Linked DNA regions of Danio rerio. The protein of the gene in region 1 purifies or fractionates together with the protein of each later gene. This does not show direct contact. Links are inferred from orthologs where the notes say so. Each region holds a gene or a part of one and is shown in the gene's direction. Other genes may lie near its edges.

What was found. The genes of interacting proteins can lie anywhere in the genome.
Region 2: the proteins of anapc4 (region 1) and cdc26 purify together in Homo sapiens (affinity purification with mass spectrometry; 11 studies listed by BioGRID and IntAct, with this or other methods). This does not show direct contact. The link is inferred for Danio rerio from reciprocal best matches to the Homo sapiens genes ANAPC4 and CDC26.

Annotation. Positions count from the first base shown.
Region 1 is NC_133195.1:26,086,883-26,090,538, reverse strand, and holds part of anapc4 (anaphase-promoting complex subunit 4), read left to right. Parts: intron 1-137; coding exon 138-202; intron 203-1,807; coding exon 1,808-1,850; intron 1,851-1,948; coding exon 1,949-2,025; intron 2,026-2,091; coding exon 2,092-2,192; intron 2,193-3,656. UniProt on the Homo sapiens protein: Component of the anaphase promoting complex/cyclosome (APC/C), a cell cycle-regulated E3 ubiquitin ligase that controls progression through mitosis and the G1 phase of the cell cycle.
Region 2 is NC_133180.1:62,620,728-62,624,580, reverse strand, and holds cdc26 (anaphase-promoting complex subunit CDC26), read left to right. Parts: upstream 1-1,290; 5' UTR 1,291-1,350; intron 1,351-1,839; 5' UTR 1,840-1,864; coding exon 1,865-1,945; intron 1,946-2,894; coding exon 2,895-3,080; 3' UTR 3,081-3,289; downstream 3,290-3,853. UniProt on the Homo sapiens protein: Component of the anaphase promoting complex/cyclosome (APC/C), a cell cycle-regulated E3 ubiquitin ligase that controls progression through mitosis and the G1 phase of the cell cycle.

The DNA of each region.
Region 1 (3,656 bases):
CACTGGCATTCATTAGACATTTAAACCACAGTTGATTATTGCAATAATGGACTGATCCACTGAAGCTATCCTAACTGGCTTTGATTTGTTTATTAAAACTTTTAGAACAGTTGATGAGTTGCAGTGTTGTTTTACAGGAAAAAAACACAAGCACTCAGGTTCAGGATGAGTTTTTGGAGCTGCTGTTATGGGGCCATGCAAGGTAAACAATTTATAGATGAAATAGATGAAATGTTCATTCATGAGTTAAAGTGAAACTGCCGAACTGCAGTTAAAGTCAGGCATCCTGCTGATTTCATTCAGAAGGGCACTTTTTGTCAGACGGCTCACCGGTCAGGTATACATATCAAGGTGAAAGTCATCATAGCTTGCGTAGAATAGACCCAGCTCCCAAACCAACTTTGAGAGTACATTCACGGCAATATTTTTTTGTTGCGCGATAAGAGTCTCGTGTTAGCGCAGCACGTATATTTTATTTATTTATTTTTATTTATTTAAATCTGAGTATTTGATATAATTTTAAAATAAACTTTTAAATCATATATTTAAAACAAATTGTATTATATTGAAGTAGACATGTCACATAGATTTTAGATTTCTTCTATGTACAATTGAGGGCAAAACGAAGAAATTATTGTAATATTTAACAGAGCAAGGACAGTATTTCCTATAATATTTTTTCTTCTGGAGAAAGTCTTATTTCTTTTAGTTTTGCTTAAATAAAAGAAGTTTTACATTAATCCGTTAAGGCCAGGTTTATTAGCCCTTTAAGAAATATTTATTTTTGATTGGTTACAGGACTTATCCAATAACTTGCCTAATTAAATTAACGTACAAAGTTAACCCAATAAACTTATTTAAGCCTTTAAATGTCACTTTAAGCTGAATTCCAGTGTCCTGCAAAGTAATTAGTAAAATATGATGGACTGTCATCACTGCAAAGACAGTCATAAAAAGATAGTCATTAAAACTAATATGTTTAGAAATGTGTTCTTCTCTGTTCAGCAGCACTTGTTTTTTTTTTTAAATAGTTCAAAATTAACAGGAGGCTAATAATTTTGATTTAACTGTACATGAAATCAGTTTTTGTTTAATGTAATTTTAAGTGATAGTCTAAACAAATATAAATACTTCCTAAGTGTTTCTAAACTTTCATGAATTTCTTTTTGCTGTTGAACACAAATCAATATGTTCTAAAGAATGTTGCAAACCTGCAGTCATTGACATTCACAGTGGGAACAGAAATGCTGTGGCTGCTGCTTCCCAACATTCTTCAAAGCATCTTCTTTTTTGGAACAGGTTTGAAACAAGTGGAAGATAAGCAAATGATAACAGAGTTTTCATTTTCGGGTGAACTATTCCTTTAATGTGGACACCAAAATGGCACATCTTGTCTCTGTTTGGAATGTAAATATATGCCTCAGTGGGATGCCTTGAAGACAAAAAGGTTGAGAAGTACCACAGTCAACCTTCTCATGCTTGTATTTGCTCTGAATGACCAACAGAGGGCACAATGTGACTTTAAAACTTTTACAGCTACCGACAGAATCTGAAAAAATACCATCTACAATACATTCATTTACAACCATTATCCAAAGGCTGTCACTAGTAGGGAAATAAGCCAAAATGTGTTTTTTCACCCCATAGATCCTTATTTCTGGATGAACAAAAAAACTTTAAGGAAAAAAATGTTCAGGTTTTTTTTAGATCTCCAGCCTGAATACAAACAGCTGTAGTACTGTTTTTTTGATGATGATGTGTTGATGTTACTTTTTTAAAACTTTATAAATGCAGTTTTCTCTTTCAGCCCTGAACTTCAGGCTCTTCTCATGAATCAGCTCACAGTCAAGGTAAATCTACCTTGCTAATCCTATCTGCTTACATTGCTTTAGTGATTATTACCAACATCATTCATTGTAACTACATTTTTTGTTATTTGACCACTCAGGGCTTGAAGATGCTGGGTCAGTCTATTGATTCTTCCTATTCCAGCATTCAGAAACTTGTTATCAGTCACTTGCAGAGGTGGGTATTGTTCACCTGATAGAGAGTGTTAGCGATCAGCATGATCAGTGTTTGCTGTTCCCATAGTGGCTCTGAGGCGCTGCTCTATCACCTGAGCGAGGTCAAAGGAATGGCTCTATGGAAGCAGAAGTTTCAGCCTCTAGGCCTGGATCCTTCAGACATAGAGGGTAAAACAATCACTGTTTGTAGACTTTAATTATTTTATTATTATTTATATTCTATTATTCATGAATACTTTGAATCAGTTTCAACAATATATTATATATTTTTCATTTTATGTGTTATGCGCATTAATATTTAATTCTAATATGTATATCAAAGGGCCATGACTCCACCCCTTTCTCAGCAGGGTCTTTTCAGACCTCTAGTTTGAAAAATGTCTGGAAAGTGGGTTAGTCCAGCTTTGTTTAGGCGGGAGTGTCGAGTGGAAAAAGAGGGAAGGGTTTGCATGAAAAGGGGAGTTTCATTACGAGCACTACAGCTGATTTTCACAGCGGCAACGCAAACATGGACACAAGGGAGATAGACTGTGATTACTTTTACAAGGACATCAGTAATCAAATTATTTGCTTTAATCTGAAAAAGACAATAATAAGATTAAGGTGTTTACATGAGTTGCTTTTAAATGTTCCTTTAATGCTTGAGACTAGGTAGGTGCAGAGAATAGCATTAAACAGCCGTGTGTGTATAGACTATCCTGTCACAAAAATGTGGTGAAAATCCAACACAATGATATTAGTTTGATTAATGTGTTTACATTTGGAGAGCAGCATTTACAGCGGATCTATCAGTCCATAATATTGTAGTGATTTTAACATACTGTAAATTTAGTAACTTAATCATTTTGACTAAGGCATGTCTTTAAAAACTGAAAGAGTACTGCTGATGATACTAACTAACTTTGCCATCTGAATAAACATAAACAACAAACACTGATCACACACTTACTAAAACCTTAAAGACAGGACAATCAACTCCAACTGGAACTCCAACTTTTTAAAAAAGAAACGAGTGGCTTTTCTGGATTTCACTATATACATATGCAAAAAGCTCTTCGGTACAGAAATGTTCCTTACAAACATATTTTTATTGCGTGTTAGCAGACCACTGTAATGCACATATGTGGGTCCACACACTGTGCTATACTAATGCTGTGCAATACTGGTGACCCTCGTCTCAAAACAATTCTTCTTTTTCCACTTGTTTTAATTACGGTTGGAAATACAACGTGGTGTCTCTCTGAACACCGTAACAGGTAAAAACAGTCTTCGAAGCTATCATGCATATTAATGAAGTTACACCTCACACACAATAGAGCACGCTGATTGGTTCGAACCAAGTCTTTCTCATGAGTTAATGATAAAAACTAAAAAATGTCAATTTGTACTAGCCGGTACAGACATCCAGTCTGTACTCTGGTATTTACACAAGAATCTCATGGCCGTGACGTAGTTTTGAAATTTATTTTCAAACCGGAAGATCTAATTTGCTCGAAATAATGCAAAACAACCAGTTTTCACTTTCACGCGTAGGACACAAATATCACTTTCAACATCTCAAAAAATTGTGTTTTGGTGTTTTGTGATCCTTTAATGTAGTCGCATGGTTATTTTAATCTAGACTTTGTTCAG
Region 2 (3,853 bases), on another chromosome or scaffold:
TTGTCGGAACTACTAGACACAATTTTTTTTATCAACTATAATGTGTTTAATTAGTTAATTTAAAATTCATTTCATTATTCCAGCAATAATTGTTGAGTGAAAGAATGCGCTAGAAATTTGCATTGCGGCTCCCTTTATTGTACAGGCTTATTGCACTTAAACTTTTTTAGGTTCGGCTCTCGAATTAGTAAGGTTATGAGTAAATGTTATTTAAAATATTTAAAGCCTGCCATCTAGCCTACAATAACAGCAAATTTAATAATAGAAAAAAATAATAAGACAGGCCTACTTTGGCGTTGCAATAAAATAGTATTAATTATCAAAAAAATAATTACAATATATAATTAAAATAGGAAGAAGTAAATGAAAACAAATGGTACCCTTTGTTTTTATAGCAGGGCCCAAAGTGTTCTTATTCTGGTTCTGCTAACAACTATTAAAAAGAAAAAAAACACACCAAACAATAAAAACACTAGTAACTGATATTAATAATAATAATAATTATTATTATTATAAAGCCCTATTATATTATTATAAAGATTGTTATGAAACAATCATGTAAACCAGGTGCTCCTCGGAAATGGCTATCTTTGCTCTGCATCAGGTGCACAGCAGCAAGAAGCTTGGCAGTGAACTATGACCTTATTTTAATGACAAATGTCTAAGAATACTGCTTTACGTTTTTATTTAATTTATACATACGCAATGAATGTAAGCCTGCTAACTGTGTGTGGTTCAAATGATAGAATATGTAAACTTAGTTAATATATAATTAAATAATAATAATTAAAAGCCTGCGTGTAAGGCTTTTATTTTGAGGGTGACGTCACGAGCGCAGATTTGGTTGACCAATTAGAGGAAAGTGGGCGTTTCAGCACCGCCTACATGTGTAAAATGAATTTTAAAGTCGTTTATCCGTTTTCCTACCCTAAACCAAAAAACGAAAATCCAGCCAAAATCTCGTTTTTTCGTTTTCTCGTGAGCAAAAGGAAAAACGGCCGTTTTCTCCATTTCCTTTATTCCGTTTGAAAATGGAAAACAAATGAACAAAACGTACACGGACCGTTCTAAAACAACAAGTTTTGTACATTTAGTTTTAAAGGTTTAACTAAATAAATCGATCAAAAACTTGAAGAAAAAAACTAAGGTTAATGAACATTTCAACCGTCTATGCCCTTAAATAGACAGTGAAAGAATAATTCAACTAATGCGATTATCAATTTAAAACTTGAAAAAATATAAAAACAGAAAAAACACACACGTTTATCCCTTTTTTCTCCCTTCACGCTTAAACTACATTTCCCATGATTCCTTCTGCTCTTTCTACGGTCTAAAGCGTGAATGATTACGGTAAGTGATGTGAGCTGAAATAGTCATCTTCTTTCAGTTTAGAATTGTTTGTCAATAGTTTGCCAAGCTTACTAAAATAAACGATCTTCACGGTTCATTATCCTGACGTTTGTCACTGTTTAAGACCCAGAATTTAGAGCTACTAGGCTAATTAGCATGTAGCTGCTAAACAATAACGTTATGGTGTTGAAGCAGGCGTCGCTGAATTTCTTGAAATTACGAAATACACAACACGACGGTAAACGTTCAAGTAAAGTGTACTGTGTATGCAGATATAATACTGCAATCATGGGCTTTTGCAACGTTAGGTTCCTTAAAACATAGCATTTGAGCTTTCTCAGAGTCAAAATATATATGAAGAGTTGAATAGAACTACCACAACTCAACTAGGTTAACCCATCGATTTCTAATGAACATACATTATATATGTAACGTTAACGTTAATAAGTGTGTAAATTAACTTAAGCAGCGCGTGTAACGTGTTTCCAGGCAACGAGAAGCCGGTGATGTGAAGATGCTGAGGAGGAAACCAACGCGCCTCGAGCTCAAGCTGGACGACACGGAGGAGTTTGAAAGTGTCAAGAAAGAGCTGGAGGTAAAATTTTGGACTTGTCATCGTGTCTTAAACATGTGTCATAAATAGTTGCTTCAATTTACTGTACACACATAAAGACATGTTCCTTCATCCCAGTGGGGACTCTCATAGACCCCTTAATGATGGTTCTACTGTACAAACAGTAGATTCTATCCCCCTACCCCTAAACACAACCCAATTTATCTGTACTGCATGTCTTTGGACTGTGGGGGAAACCGGAGCACCCGGAGGGAACCCACGCGAATGCAGGGAGAACATGCAAACTCCACACAGAAACGCCAACTGAACCATGGTTCGAACCAGCGACCTTCTTGCTGTGAGGCGACAGCACTAGGTCTGGTGCGACTGCTTCGTCCGAGGACAGGATTTTCCCGAATGTAATTCTATAAATTTGATGGGAGTAAACCCAATATAGAAATGTAAACAGAGATACGCTAGTGCTTGAGCCTACAAATGGACAAAGCAGTAAAATTAGTTATAAATCTTAGTGCAGCATGGTAAACAGTGTCCAGTGCATGCAGACTAGAAGACGAAGCATACATATAGATAACATCAGCGTAGTCCAATATCAACATAAATGTTGCATCAACCAGCTTTTTTGTAGCATCAAAAGTAAAGTTGTATTGGAGTTGTTCTACAGCTGATTTTGATAGACTACAGTTATGTGTTAGTAACCACAGCGAAAATATATTTCTGCTAAAAACATTATCAATTATGATTAAGTTATGATAATGATATTATTAGGTTATGAAAATGATACTTTAGTCCCTGCTCTCCCCTACTTAATTAAAATAAAGCAAAAATTCTTAGTCCACCACTGCAAATCAGTCAGTAATAGTGTGATTTCTTCATCATTCTTTTTCTCATTTAAAAGCAAGCATGTAAGCAAATCTTACAGAAAGTAAGAAGCTTTCTATAATCTCATGTTACTTTCCCCACATGTGTTAAGAGTCGGAAGAAACAGAGGGATGAGGTGGATGTCGTCGGTGTCGCCACATCCAGTGAGATGAGCGGAGCGGCAGGTGGCACTGCTGATGGGAAAACCAGAGAGCAGATGATTCACGAGAGAATTGGATACAAACCCCACCCCAAGCCTAACACGTTACCATCGCTCTTCGGAAACCTTCAGTTTTGACAAGTGCCAATCCTGAACAATGGACTATAAGGTCTTGAGAATCTGTAACACAGACACGTACGTGCACACAGAATATATTCTGCATCAATCTTGCCAGATTAGAAATGGACATAAAATTATGGCTTTGGTTAACGGTGTTTGTGATAACTGATTTCAAATGACTATTTTTCTATTGAAATAAATAAAGCCTTTCTAGTTGGATGTGGAAATGGTGTGTAAATGTGATATTGGCAGAATTATATTTTTGATAATACCGATTAGGGCGCAACGATTATAAATTTTGGTTGTACGATTATAGTATTAGAAATAATCACGTTTATCATGATTATTTGCATTCATTGATCCCAAAACCCCATTAGTTTATAAATAGTTTAAAACGGTTTTAAATTTTGTTTTATATATTGTGCCCAACTAAATATTTGTTGCTGGTTTAATCGTTTAATTTTATTTAAGTGCATATAAAAAATTCAGTGGATATTATTGATGCATTATTTGGTAAAACTGCTCATTCAATGTGTTTTTGGTCATTATCAATGCACCGGTAAAATAGACCCAGCGGCGAAACCACGACTGCTTGCATGATGCTCATGCCTCGTGTTGACGCACTGCTTCTGCATGCAGTATGAAAGCTCTAATCTGTTAACATGGATGCGAAAAAAAACACTCTCTGGTCATGCCTGCGGTGTGAAACAGGCTTGAGTCTTTCACCACTGTCTTTAAAAACATTCAGTTGATCCCAGCTGGGGATTCGCCACATGATTGCTCTCCACAAC